Bombyx mori: one gene and its partner. The main gene of each other region encodes a partner of the protein of the gene in region 2 in a complex. Links are inferred from orthologs where the notes say so. Each region holds a gene or a part of one and is shown on either strand. Other genes may lie near its edges. The genes, in order: mediator of RNA polymerase II transcription subunit 20 and mediator of RNA polymerase II transcription subunit 24.

Region 1 (6,927 bases), on a different chromosome or scaffold from region 2:
CTAATATAATTGGCACTTCAACCTCATGTATTAAGGTAGCCAATGTCAAGTATGATATAATTTTCATGGTCCCTAATATTCACTACGCAAATTTTGAAAACTTTGACAACAACAGCAATCTATAAAAAACAAAGATTTTTTTAACATAATATTACGGAAGTATTCTTTTTAGGAACGTATTTCTCCATCTATCTTTATGTACTATTATAGATATAGTGACGGACGTTCTGGATGCCTCCAAGTGTTCACATATATTAACATAGCTATTCACTAATTATTCAATTCACTCACCTCAATCAAAATCCCTTTAAAATTCTGATTCATAGTAACTGATCCGAGCTTCACACAGAAATCTCCGAGCTCAAACCTAGGTCCTTTGCTCTCGATTTTGGTTTGTTTCTTAGAAGTATAATGCTGAGACAACTTCATCATTAACAAGTCAAATAGTCCGTCAGCTATGACGTGAATATTTTTCGTGCCACTTTCAAGGATTGAGAAGACAGACGCAGGCTGCTCAGAGTTGTGTAATATATGTACTGTTTTTGTTGTACCTGGAATATTTGAGTTACGTTTTTGCTGTCAGAAATTTTAAAAGCAGCATTAGACAAAACTTTAGGTAAGTGTGTTTCGTATTGTTAATTTCCACAAGCGTATGCAAGTAATGGTAACCGTTAAGTGGTCTGGCTGAATTTGATGAAAAGATAATAAATATTGGTATCAGCATCTCATCAACTTTTCAATTCAACTATCAAGTACACGATTAGCTTTGGTTTTTATAAATTCCTTGCATTTTATTTTTTATTGCTTAGATGGGAGCTCTCATCCCACCTGATGTTAAGTGGATGGATGGTGGTTACTGGAGCTCATAGATATCTACAACATAAATGCCCCACCCACCTTGAGATATAAGTTCTAAGGTCTCAGTATAGTTACAACGGCTGCCCCACCCTTTAAACCAAAAAGCATTACTGCTTCACAGCAGAAATAGGTGTGATGGTGGTAACCGTGAGGACTCACAAGACGTCCTACCGCCAGCAATTACACAAATTATAACTTTGCGGGTTCGATTTTTATTACACGATGTTATTCCTTCACTGTGGAAGTCAATCGTGAATATTTGTTAAGTACGTATTTCATTCGAAAATTGGTACCCACCTTCGGGCCACATAGGCCACGAGGACTTTAAGTACAATAAACTAGCTGACACCTTTGTAATGTCTGAAATATTTTCAAATATGTCATATCCATGTATTGGCGATGGGCTGTGTGATTTCTCTATAAATCGCTAAGTGGAATGTGTCTTTCTTTTTACTTTTAGCTTGGATTCAGTAAACACGTACCCATGAGTGGATGTGATAAATAACTCTCGCAATCAACCAGGAACTGTCCTTGTTGTGTCGCCCCTAATGCTAAGATACGCTTTGTAAGTAACTCCACTACATATGTTCCGGTCTTGTTCTCTGGCACTGGATATTGCTGTAAGCTGTCAAGTTAATAATTGAAACAGTTTATTAAATATAATCCACTCTTCACGATTTTTTTATGGTAGATTTTGTAGTTGTATCAAAAACATAATAAATAGATTTGTTTCGTTATTATTTTTAATGATACTCTTCCTTCAGTCTGGCCAAACTGTGTCAAAAATAAGCTACACTAACATGTATTTTTATTCGGGGATAGTTTTCATACACCGGATAAGGTTAAAGAAGAATTTGAGATAACGTATGAAGTCAAGAAGTTTACTTTCTACCTTTACATAGAGTTATTACTTTTATTAGTATTAGTATTATACATCGCGGTATATTTTTATGAATGTAATTATAGGAATACCACACAATAATAACGTTCTATTTATTAAATTTGCACACTTACACTGTTACCCCCATTATAGATTGTTTGTATACAAAGCACAGATTATTAAATTATTTTAGTCGCTATGGCAGTGGGCAGGCAGAGGGCTTGCAATTTAATATTAGTAATAGACAGGGGTGCCTATCTGAGATCGATTAATCGAATCTGAATCGATTCACTGCATCGATATTTGACCCTTGAATATCGATGTTGATTTTTTCGGTTTTGGTAAAAACCAGTAATTTATTTACAATTAGCCTGTTATCAAGCAATAAATAGAATAAATACTTCAATTTTAGATAGTAAATCACAAGAACAACTTCCACAAAATAATAGTGAAGAAGTCGACGGAATCGAACTGATACGGAAGAAGTAATTTGGGATTTTCATAAATTGCTGATGAAAAAGCAACTTTTTACATTTATTGCACTGAGAAATGAAGGCTTAGACGAAGAAATTGAACACTATTTATTTGCAGGCAGTTGTGTACCTGAAGTATGACCACATACTTCACTGGCAAGAAAAGAAGAAAAAAAACCATCTAACACTACGTCCACTCAATAGCCATGTTTTTCTTTTATGAATGAGGGATCACTGGTGGGCCAGAGGCCTTTCCAGTTTCACCAGGACATGTGGGCGAGCAAAGGCTCATCCAGGAGAAGTGGGATGTGCTAACAGAGCCATGATGTATATGAGTATTGAGGCATCATCTTTACCTTGTGAGAGCGCTTCAATTGCCTGCAATAACGCAAGTGATGAGCGGAACCGCTTGGATCCCAATACACTTGACAGACTGTTTTTAAGAAGTTCGGATACTAGACGGTGGGAAAATCTACATTATCTATTAGAAATTATACCTAACTAGCGACCCGCCCTCGCTTCGCTTCGGAAACATTAAAACACACATGAAACCAAAAAAATAAAATAAAAAAAATTAAAAAAAATTAGCCTATGTTCATCAGGGACAATGTCGGCTTCTAATGGAAAAAGAATTTTTCAAATTGGTCCAGTAGTTTCGGAGTCTATTCGAAACAAACAAACAAACAAATCTTTCCTCTTTATAATATTAGTACCTAATGGGACAAGATTAAAGGCAATGATAACAGACAACACCATAGTTTTTGGATGAGATGAAATAAAAGAATCTCTAGTTAAAATAGTTAGAATTTGGTGAGAATTCAAAGATAATTTTAAAAGAACCCGAGAAACTACTAACAGTATCGACTGAGTCCTTATCTTACATGTTGAGATATAGCACTAGCTGCGTGTCGCCGCACTAGTAATGTTGACTCGCTACCATGGATACATTCTCTACTTAATAAGATTGTGTCGTGTGAATAAAATATAACTGATGATAATAAAAAGAGTCTGCTTATTCTTTCATATAAAATCTTAACATGGTAGCAGACCGCGTGTGCAGTAAGTAAATAAAAATATATTGGGTTGCGATCCACTAGAAATAATATCGGCGAAAATTATAAAAAAGAAAGATGACAACTGCGAGGTCTCTTCTGCCGATTTTGACTGAAAATTCAAATTTTAGTCATTGGAAATTTAGATTGAAATTACTGCTGGAAGAAAAGTAATTAAGCAATGTATTCTTAAAAGAGAAACCGACGGATCAGGATGACTCACGAGCAAAATCAATTTTGGTACAATGTCTGAGCGACAAATATATTTACATCGTAAAAAATGCGAATACGACAAAAGAAATGCTAACGTCATTGGAGGCCATATTTGAACGAAAAACAGTCTGTAATAAATTTTATTTAAAACGGAAACTCATAACAATGTGCTATGATGATGAAAGCAACTTACAGCAATTTTTCCTAAAATTTGAAGGAATTCTTAGCGAATTAGCGGCAATCAACGTAAGCGTCGAAGTAGAAGACCAAATTTGCTATCTGCTGTCTTCTTTACCAAAGATATACGATCAATTAATTACATCAATTGAGACTATGGGTTCCGAGAAACAACTGAACATAGAATTTGTTAAAGCAAGACTACTCGATATGGAGACAAAGTTAAAAATGGACAGAAATAGTGAAGGTTATGAGAATAATGCCTTCATCACGTGCCACTCCTGCGGAAAACGTGGACACAAATCATTCGAATGCCGATCAGGACGAGGACAAGCGCCGAGTAGAGGACAGTCATTGACACGAGGACGGAGCTATCCAAGATCGTGTGGACGCTCATTTAGAGGAAATTCAAGTTCACGACATACAACGTATCAACATGCTTCAGCAGCAGGCACAGAAAATAAAGAAATAGGTTTCATTGCTAGCGATATTATTGCTAATGTGGGTGAATGTGGTAACATAGAACTAATTATAGACTCAGGATGTACGGAGCATTTAATAAATGAAAAATATGAAAATTATATGACGGATATTACGTATTTAGATAAACATGTCAAAATATTCGTAGCTAACGGCCAATGTATTACAACTAGTAAAAGAGGTAAACTTAAAGTAAAATATCAAAATACTACGATTAATATTGATGCTCTAATTGTGAAAGATGTTTCATACAATTTATTATCAGTAAAAAAGATTGTCGAGGCAGGTTTTAACATAAACTTTAATAAATACAATGTTAAAATATTTAATAAAAAGACATTTTTACGCGGCATCGTGCAAGGAAAGTTGTATAAGCTACAAGCCGAATTATGTAAGTCCGAAGTCTGTAATATTACTGATGCGACAGATCTATGGCACAAACGTTTAGGTCACTTAAATAGGAAAAGCCTTAATATACTAAACTTACCTGTATCTAATAGAATTTGCAGTCCTTGTATGGAGGGCAAAGCCACCCGAAGCCCGTTCACGCCTATCCCAAAGCCTAGAACAAAAATGACAGCCGAGATGCTTCACACAGACATAGCAGGACCGATCAGACATCAAGGACCTAATGGTGAAAAATATTTTATGAAAATTATTGACGATTTCTCTCATTTTTGCGTAGTGTATCCCCTGAAGAGCAAATCTGAAGCAACAGAACGACTGATGAACTATGTATTAAGAATTGAAAACGAAACGGGGAATAAAGTTAAAAGAATTAGATGCGATAATGGTGGAGAGTACACTGCTAACAGTTTGAAACTTTTTTGCATAAATAGAGGTATTAGTTTAGAATACACATTACCGTACACGCCACAACTTAATGGCATATCAGAACGAATGAACCGCACATTATGCGACAAAACGAGGACTCTATTAGCGGAAACCAATTTGCCAAAACATCTGTGGTGCGAAGCAATACAATGTGCAGTTTACCAATTAAACAGATCGCCATCATGGGCCATAAGCTTCAAGACACCCAGCGGAATATTTTTTGGTAAAAACGACATATCGAGATTGAGAGTATTTGGTTCCAAAGCTTGGGCTACTATAGTACCCAAACCGGACAAGTTTGCCAAGAGAGCAAAAGAAACAAGAATGGTAGGTTATGGAACTGTTGGTTACAGATTATGGGATCCAGAAGAAGATAAAATAGTTATTTCCAGAGATGTAAGATTTGATGAAAGCGACATTAAATTCAAAAACAAAGAAGAAGTGAAACAAGTTAGATATATTCAAGACAAAGAAGAAGAAATCAATAAAGAAAAGCAAGATATTGTAGAACAGGAAGATGAATTTAAAGATGCAGAAATGAACACTGATCAAATTGAAGAAGCAATAATCAGACCCAAAAGAACGATAAATCCTCCTGCTTATCTTAAAGATTACGAGACGAATATAGAAAACATAAATGAAACTAATATTGTTATATGTCTGAGTGCAAATGCACCAGAAACTTTCGAAGAAGCTATAAAAGAACCAGAATGGAAAAACGCAATCAATAAAGAACTAGATGCACTCCAAAGACTAGAAACGTGGGAAGAACAAGAAATAACCGATGGAAGAAAGCTCATTGATACAAAATGGATATTTAAACTAAAAGAAGATGGAACAAAAAAGGCAAGACTGGTAGCTAGAGGCTTCCAACAAAAGAAAAAAGATATTTTTGACAGCGTTTATGCACCCGTTGCTAGACATTCTACCATAAGAATGATCTTATCAAAAGCTGTACAAGATGATTTAAAGATTATTCAACTAGACATTCCCACTGCATTCCTAAATGGAAAATTGAAGTCTGATGTATTTATCAAAATACCCCAAGGATTAGAAATAAAAAATAATAATACAGCATTAAAACTAAAGAGAGCATTATATGGATTGATTGAATCACCAAAATGTTGGAATGAAACACTTGACGAATTTGCGAAAGCTAACGGATTCCAAAGATCAGAATATGATTACTGTTTGTATTACAAAGAAGATTGCTGGATGCTGATTTACGTGGACGATACCTAATCATTGGAAACGGGGAAGATATTATTAAAGCACTTAAGGAGGAGTTTAACGCAAAATATATGGGTGAAATGAAGAACTTTCTCGGAATGGAAGTTAAAAGAAATAAAGATACATTAGAACTGAAACAAACTAAAATGATTGAAAAGATATTGACTAAATTCAAAATGGATGTATGTAACGGAATTAAAACTCCCATGGAAAGAAATTACAATATAGAAATAAAGGACAATACAGAAGTTTTGGACGTACCATATCGAGAATTAATAGGAAGTTTAATTTATCTTACTGTAACAACAAGACCGGATTTAACATTTGCAGTGTCATATCTGAGCAGATTTTTAGATAAACCGAACGAAGAATTATGGAAAGCTGGAAAAAGAGTAGTACGTTATTTGAAAGAAACAATAGAAAAAGGATTATTATTTAAAAAGACAAATGACAATAATGTATACGGATTTTCTGATGCCGATTGGGTTGGAGATAGAAGCGACAGAAAAAGTGTTAGCGGTGGTATTATCCTACAAGGGCAAAACCCCATTGCTTGGTTTTCAAAGAAGCAACAATGCGTAACTTTATCGTCTGCCGAAAGCGAGTATGTAGCCGCCGCATCATTAGCACAGGAAATTGTTAATTTAAAAGGCATATGTAAGCACCTAGGTTGTGGCCGTGCTATTTGTTGACAACAAAAGTACAATATCAATGGCCAAGAATTACGAGA
Region 2 (6,948 bases):
GACTGCCATGTAGGTCACCGGTGCCCTACGCGGCCCACTGAAGTTATTTGGCCGATTTCTGTTACTAAGCACCTGGATTGCCAAACATTGCATTATTTTATTTGTTAATGTCTATTTTAGTCTTTTAGGTCTCTTAAAAACATATTCATTCTCAGTATCTACGGATTCATCTTTCCCAGTGTCTACTAGATATTCCGGTGCCTTAGTAAGAAGATCGAAGAGAGAAATCGACATAATTATTTCAGTGCGCCACGTAGGGCATCGGTGACCTACATGGCAGTCAAAGGGTTAACCATGAGTTCGTTCACCATCTAAAAAAATCGTATCTGCGGTAGATGACCAGCCTTGTTGTTTTAATACGAATCATAATATCTTACGTATAATTTTCAAATTCAGATTAAAATCGCACTACCTTGCACAATAATATGGCTCCTACAATATAACTGTACAAGTTGCTACTTATTTTGTATTTACTTGCATATTTTTAGTAGGTATTTATTTGTATTTAATCGTATGTAAGTCTATCTTATATTGTATTTATTTTTCACATGTGTATATAAGTAATGTAAGTTTATTATAATATAGCACCGTCCAGTTCGCTTATTCCTCTCCCTGCAAGGTTGCCTGGAAGAGATCGCTTTCAGCGATAAGGCCGCCAATTTATGTCACCAACTATTATTTGTTTTATTTGCTCACTCTGTACATATTATGTTAAATAAAGTGTTCTTATTATTATTATTACGTAATTTACGCAATTCATGGGTTGACAATATAATAGCTTGTTCGTTATGATCAGATACTCTTTATTCCGAAACTATTGGGAATCTTATTTCTTCGTCGTATCGATTATTCTAATAGAAGAGCATTTACAATTTTCGGCTTGATATATATACTCTTTGCAGTATACAGTGTACATTAAAAAAGCTGAATACACAACTTATCAGTGCCTAGTATAACTTAAAACGCATCCTACATTATATTAAAATGTTATTAAATATTATTTAATAAATTATTTGGAAAAACGATAGAAGTAGGATAATACGGGTGGAAGAACTATTTATTATGAGTGTTCCCATAATAAAACTGTAAAAATTGATACTGACTATATTTAAAACTAAAATAAAAGATTTTTTTTTAATAAATCAAAATAATTAATGTATTTCATTATATATATCTTAAAATAAATTATCTTATTAATTTATTACTATGATTTTTTATTTATTATTCTGGCCTTAACCTCATATTTCGTAAAAGGCATAGATCTCTCGCGGTGTCTTTTCTTCCGTAAGCAGTATTCAAATTATATAAGCGTAAAATCAGACCAATGTTAAAATTGTCAGGTAGAGCTTTAATTAAAGTTGGTACGAGTTCACTAGGCATTTTCTGTAATACTAACTGGGCCCTATCTTGGCCACATTGAACCACATAAATCAAGAACTGAAGTATAAAATGTGTTTGGGGTGTGATATTTCCGTCCTTGCCAGCTAGTTGTGAAAAGGACGCATACAGCGTTTCTAAAGCTGACAACAATGGTTCTTTTAATGATATTTCATATCCTTGTCCCTTACAATAATAAACACCACTTCCATCGGATGTATTGTCGTTGAGTTTCCGCATTTTACTAGACGACATCGCATCCAAATCCTCAACTTCGTCATGACGACGCTTCCTCGAAAAATGCGACTTTTTAGTGTTGCTGTAATCTAAGGCAGCATATATGCAATACACTGCTAGCTTGGCTAATACAGAAGACTGGGGTTCAACTAGCTCTTCAGACAACTTAGAATTATACAGGTATTGTGGTAGAACATGTAATAAAAGTGCTCCTGTGCACTTTTCTATGTCCAAATGGAACATCGCCAACACAATATCAACAGATCTATCGAGATCTACTTGGTACCGAAATTTTAATGTCTCTTTCACTAAGTTCGTCACAAACCATATTGGGCCAGTTGTGTTCAAAAGATTCTCAACGAGATGGGTAGCATCAATATGAAGGTATCCTCTAGACTTTATATTTTCCCAAATGCTTTGTAGTTGCTCTAATATTGGCTTGCGAGAGGTGATACTGTATGGCAACTGCTGCTCTTTTGATTTTGGCATTGAGGTAGGATGAATTTTAAACAGTAATTTTCTTATTATCTGACACATCAAAATTGCTCTTTCTTGAAAATTGTCTATTTGAGTTAATTCTAATTCAGTAGGTGATGTTAAAAATTGCTGAACCATATTCATGGGTTTTATTGATGCATCTTGATGGACAACATTGATGTATGAACAAAGCCATACTGATGCACACACTGCCAAGGAAGCCATTTTTTGTCTTATAGAATCCAACATTCTTTTAACATCTGTTGCCGAAAGTAGACCTTGTTCCCAAGCAAAAAGAACCTCTTTGACTGCACCAGTGATATTCATACAAAGATCATGAGGTTTGACATTAGTATTTTTGAAATCAAAGTCAGGAGCACTCAAATGGTGAATGATAACATCAACAACATGATCACATTTCTGAAGTATCTGATCTGAAGATTTATAATTTCCTTTATGTACCATACAATCCCTTACCCATTTCTCAAAAAATGAATCACCATTTTCTTCTAGAACAACATCAGCTCCATAATCTTGGACTATCCAACATAAAAGCAAAAATGAAATGTCAAATATATATACTTTTGATTGTGGTGCACCTTTTTCACTTGCAGCAAACAATGCAAATTCATTAAACTTAATGAGTCTTGACACAAACATTTTTAGTTTTCCTTCCACAGTTGCAACGGCCAGGATGGTATCCAATGTAGTTCGACCAACTATTTGGCATAGCATGATATAGAGCGACTCTTGAGTTTTGTGAAATTCACCACTCAATGCTTTTAAAATCTCTGCCAATGTAGGTTCAACACGAGTTATAAATAATGGGACTGAGCCTTGTAATCCTATTGGCTCAAATTTTTGTAAAGGATGATCAATAGTCTCACGTTTTTGTTTAAAATATGTCAAAGTATTATCTGACAGAACATTAAGTTTAACTAATGGCTCTATAAGTGAAATAACACTATTACAAGAATTCTTCGTATCAACAATATCCAGGAGTGGAGCTGATTGTAATAACATTTCAAAAGCTTCCACAACCTCAGTAGAATATTCACTTTCCTTATTTGTTGTCCCACACATATTATGGAGGTGATTTATCACTTGTGGAACTTTTAGAAAAGTGAATGCAGCCCACAATGATTGCTTCGATGCATCATTACTAGAATCATTTAGTGAAATGAAACAAGCTCTAATAAGTTCACAGTAGAGACGTGACAATGAATAGCCTTTTATTTTCTGAACCATTAGTAGTTGGCTGGAGATCTGTTGCATGCCTGCACTAGGGTTTGAGAACACATTTATAGCTATTAAAGCCTGCAGACAATAGGTTACAGCTTCTGGTTTATTGTTTAAGGGTGCTATTTTATCCAATTCCATATTGCAGATTTTGTGTAAAGTGACATGTATGGTCATCGGAGGTTTGAATTGAGTGTTCATCATCATAAATGCTGTTATCTCTTGACATTTCTTTGTCACTTCGTTATACTCATCAGGATCATTCTGCTTGGCCAAATAGAACATTGCAATCAGAAAATCTGTATTAACAATAGAGTTCAGTAAAACTGATGATTTCTCCAATAATTCCTGACTTTGAACAGAACTTGAAGCTGGATACTTGGTTAATGAATAGTGAAATACTTGTAAAAGCCACAATATTATAGATGATACAGCATAAGCTAAAACTTCTTCTTCTAACTTGCCTCTGCATGTAATACTCTCCAAAAAGGTTTCAAGGAACTCCAACAAGCTTATTATACAATGAGGTTTGTGAAAAGCATCAAATTTTGCGATTCGTTGTAACACAGCCGCGAAAGAGACCAAATGACACGCAAGTGAATGTTTCAAATACGATATCACTAACTGATTGGCCCCACAGCCTACCATGGCTTGTTGAAGAATACAATCAGCCAGATTATATAGGTCACCACTGACGCCCCTCGGCAGTATAGTTTTGATGTTGATGCCCCATTGAATATCAGTCCATCGTTCTTTCCAAGCTTTTAAAATTAAAGCTTTTAGTGAACTAGTTTTACTCGTTATTTTGGAAGCATCCATTTTTATTGTATTTTATTAGAGCACAATAATGTTTCTTTCTTACATTTCACACATTTTTGACGTGATATTAGTCGTTTAAACAACACTTTACTACTAGTCTTTGAGGTTACAAATTACATTTTCTTGTTCACTGTTGAATATTGAAATTAATTCGTTATATTTGTGTGGCATATTAAGTTTATCACATTTTTAAAGATATTTTATTTATAGCGAGCATTTGAGAATAAACATTACTTTATATGATCAAACTTGAATAATAATAGCCCAATCACAAAATAGACATTTTTTTTTTTTTTTTTTTTTTTTTTTTTTTTTTTTCTTTTTTAGCTTGCACTGTTTGTGCATTTAGCCACATACAAGGGTAAAGGTAGGGAAACAGGAGAAAAAGGAAAAAACGGATAATTAAAAAGAATGGATCAGGTAGGTATTTATATACATAATTACAATTTGATATTATGTTTCAGGATAAAATTTGAAATACATAAATAAATATCATAGTTCATAGTACACAGCAAAGTATTAATAGAAGTCGGGAGTGGAATACCAAGGGATGTTAATAAATCAATAAATGAGGAACAGTCATTTAAGGAGCACGCGAAAAAAATATGATTTAAATTGCCAACATCAGCGCCGCAATCACACATATTGTTATTGACTATACCCAATCTAGTCAAATGAGATGGAGTGCAAGCATGACCCAGTCTCATCCGGATTATGATAGTAGTCGTGATCTTATTAAATCTAAAATTGTAAAACCAAGGCTTGGTAGGAATGACAGATTGTATTTGGGCATAATTCTTTCCTTTATATTGACTAGAAATAGCCCATGTTTGTCCCCAAGATTCGCGCAGGTCTGAATTCGGAAGACACAAAAGATCATTTATGAAGATTTTGTATGGATAAATATCTCCACAATCCACAGCATCATTGGCAAGTTTATCAGCAAATTCATTGCCAGAAATACCCACGTGACTAGGAATCCAGGCAAAAATTACATCGAAACCTTTTAAATTACATTCCCACAGTAATTTTCTACAATCTACAATAACAGGGTAATTGGCGCAAGATTTGAAAGGAAATTTCTGAAGTGCCTGAAGCGCACTTTTGGAATCAGAAAAAATAACAGATTTATGTAATTTCATCAAATTAACATATTCTATAGCTTTAAATAATCCGTAGCATTCCCCAGTAAAAACAGAGCTTTCTGGTGGAAGTTTAATTTTTTGGACAATTTTTGATTGTTGATGATAAACTCCAACACCAACGAGACCAGAGGAAGAATTTTTAGATGCATCGCTATAAATGTAATGTCGATCTGACCACTCTCTATCTAAGATGATATTAAAATCGATATTGGCAGAAAAAATAGATCGAGATATATCTAAGGTAAAATGAATTTTAGGAACAAGAGTTAATGCTTCATATTCAGCAGAAAAAATAGAGAGACGATGAGACATGTGAGTGGGGGCAAGCAAAGAGGAAAATTTACGAAAACTCACGACTAAACAAGGTAGAGACTTGTGCCTCCAGTAGGGGGAAGATGAAACTAAATGTGATAAAGTAGATAATTTGGTATGAAGGGGATGCTTGGTAAATTGTAGAGCACGGAACAGAAACTTGTCACAAAGATATTGACGACGGAGTCGCAGAGGAGGGTCAACACACTCAACTTGTAAAGCATTGATAGGACTAGATTTCATTGCACCGGTTATTAAACGGAGAGCTTTTGATTGTATGCCATCAAGCTTATTTAGTCCGACTGCATTACATGGTTCAAGAAAGTAAGTACCATAATCTAAAATACTTCGTATGAGAGCGTTGTATAGGAGCTTTAGATTATATGGATGTCCACCCCACCAGACTCCAGTTAAACATCTCATAATATTCAAAACTCGTTCGCATCTAGCTATAACGTAATAACAATGTGATAAACCTGATAATTTGGCGTCTAGAATAACTCCTAAAAATTTTATTTCATTTTCAGATGGAATAAGTTCATTATCAAAATATACGGAAACAGGAGGAGGAAGCCGCATTCTAGAAAATAACACAATGCAACTTTTTGAAACAGAAAGATTAAGAGCGTTGGAGACAAGCCAAAATTTAAGTTTGGACAGTGCTCGACTTAAAAAGTCACTTAATTCTAAAACAGATCGCCCTGAAACGTATAAAACTAGATCATCTGCATATTGTAATATAGACACGTTATTAGAATCACCATTAGGTATTTGAATTGCTTTATCTAGGTCATGTGTGTAAATGTTATACAAAGTAGGGCTAATAACACATCCCTGGGGTAAGCCCTTCCATAAAGTTCTAGATTTATGGTTTGAATCGCCCGTATCCATAGTTATTACTCTACCAGACAAGTAATTAATAATAAAATTAGTAATCAAAAAGGGAACATTGAGCTTAAGGAGTTTTAGCTTTAATATGTGAAGATCGACGTTATCGTAAGCAGCATGTATATCTAAAAATGCTGCAAGTGTTGATTCATTATTACTAAAGGATAATCTAATATCAGTTGTAAATATTCCAAGACTATCCATAGTGCTCCGACCTTTCCTAAAGCCGTATTGGTTCGGAGCAAGAATATCATTAGATTCAAGAAACCATTCTAACCGATTTTTTATTAGATGTTCTGTTAATTTTGCGAGAACAGATGCGAGGGCTATTGGTCTATACGAGTTCGCATCAGAAGGAGGCTTATTCGGTTTTAAAATAGAGATTACTTCTTGTAATTTCCACGAAGTGGGGATATTGCCAGAAATCATAATGGAATTTATCAAACTTAAAAAG

The links.
Region 1: mediator of RNA polymerase II transcription subunit 24 (region 2) and mediator of RNA polymerase II transcription subunit 20 share a complex: the UniProt entries of both Drosophila melanogaster proteins name them as parts of the mediator complex. The link is inferred for Bombyx mori from reciprocal best matches to the Drosophila melanogaster genes MED24 and MED20.

Annotation. Positions count from the first base shown.
Region 1 is NC_085134.1:1,810,651-1,817,577, forward strand, and holds the start of mediator of RNA polymerase II transcription subunit 20, read right to left. Parts: upstream 4,791-6,927; 5' UTR 4,755-4,790; coding exon 4,621-4,754; intron 2,024-4,620; exon of another isoform or gene 1,887-2,023; coding exon of another isoform or gene 1,873-1,886; intron 1,484-1,872; coding exon 1,341-1,483; intron 552-1,340; coding exon 292-551; intron 1-291. UniProt on the Drosophila melanogaster protein: Component of the Mediator complex, a coactivator involved in the regulated transcription of nearly all RNA polymerase II-dependent genes.
Region 2 is NC_085113.1:5,799,982-5,806,929, forward strand, and holds mediator of RNA polymerase II transcription subunit 24, read right to left. Parts: upstream 4,876-6,948; 5' UTR 4,150-4,875; coding exon 1,222-4,149; 3' UTR 787-1,221; downstream 1-786. UniProt on the Drosophila melanogaster protein: Component of the Mediator complex, a coactivator involved in the regulated transcription of nearly all RNA polymerase II-dependent genes.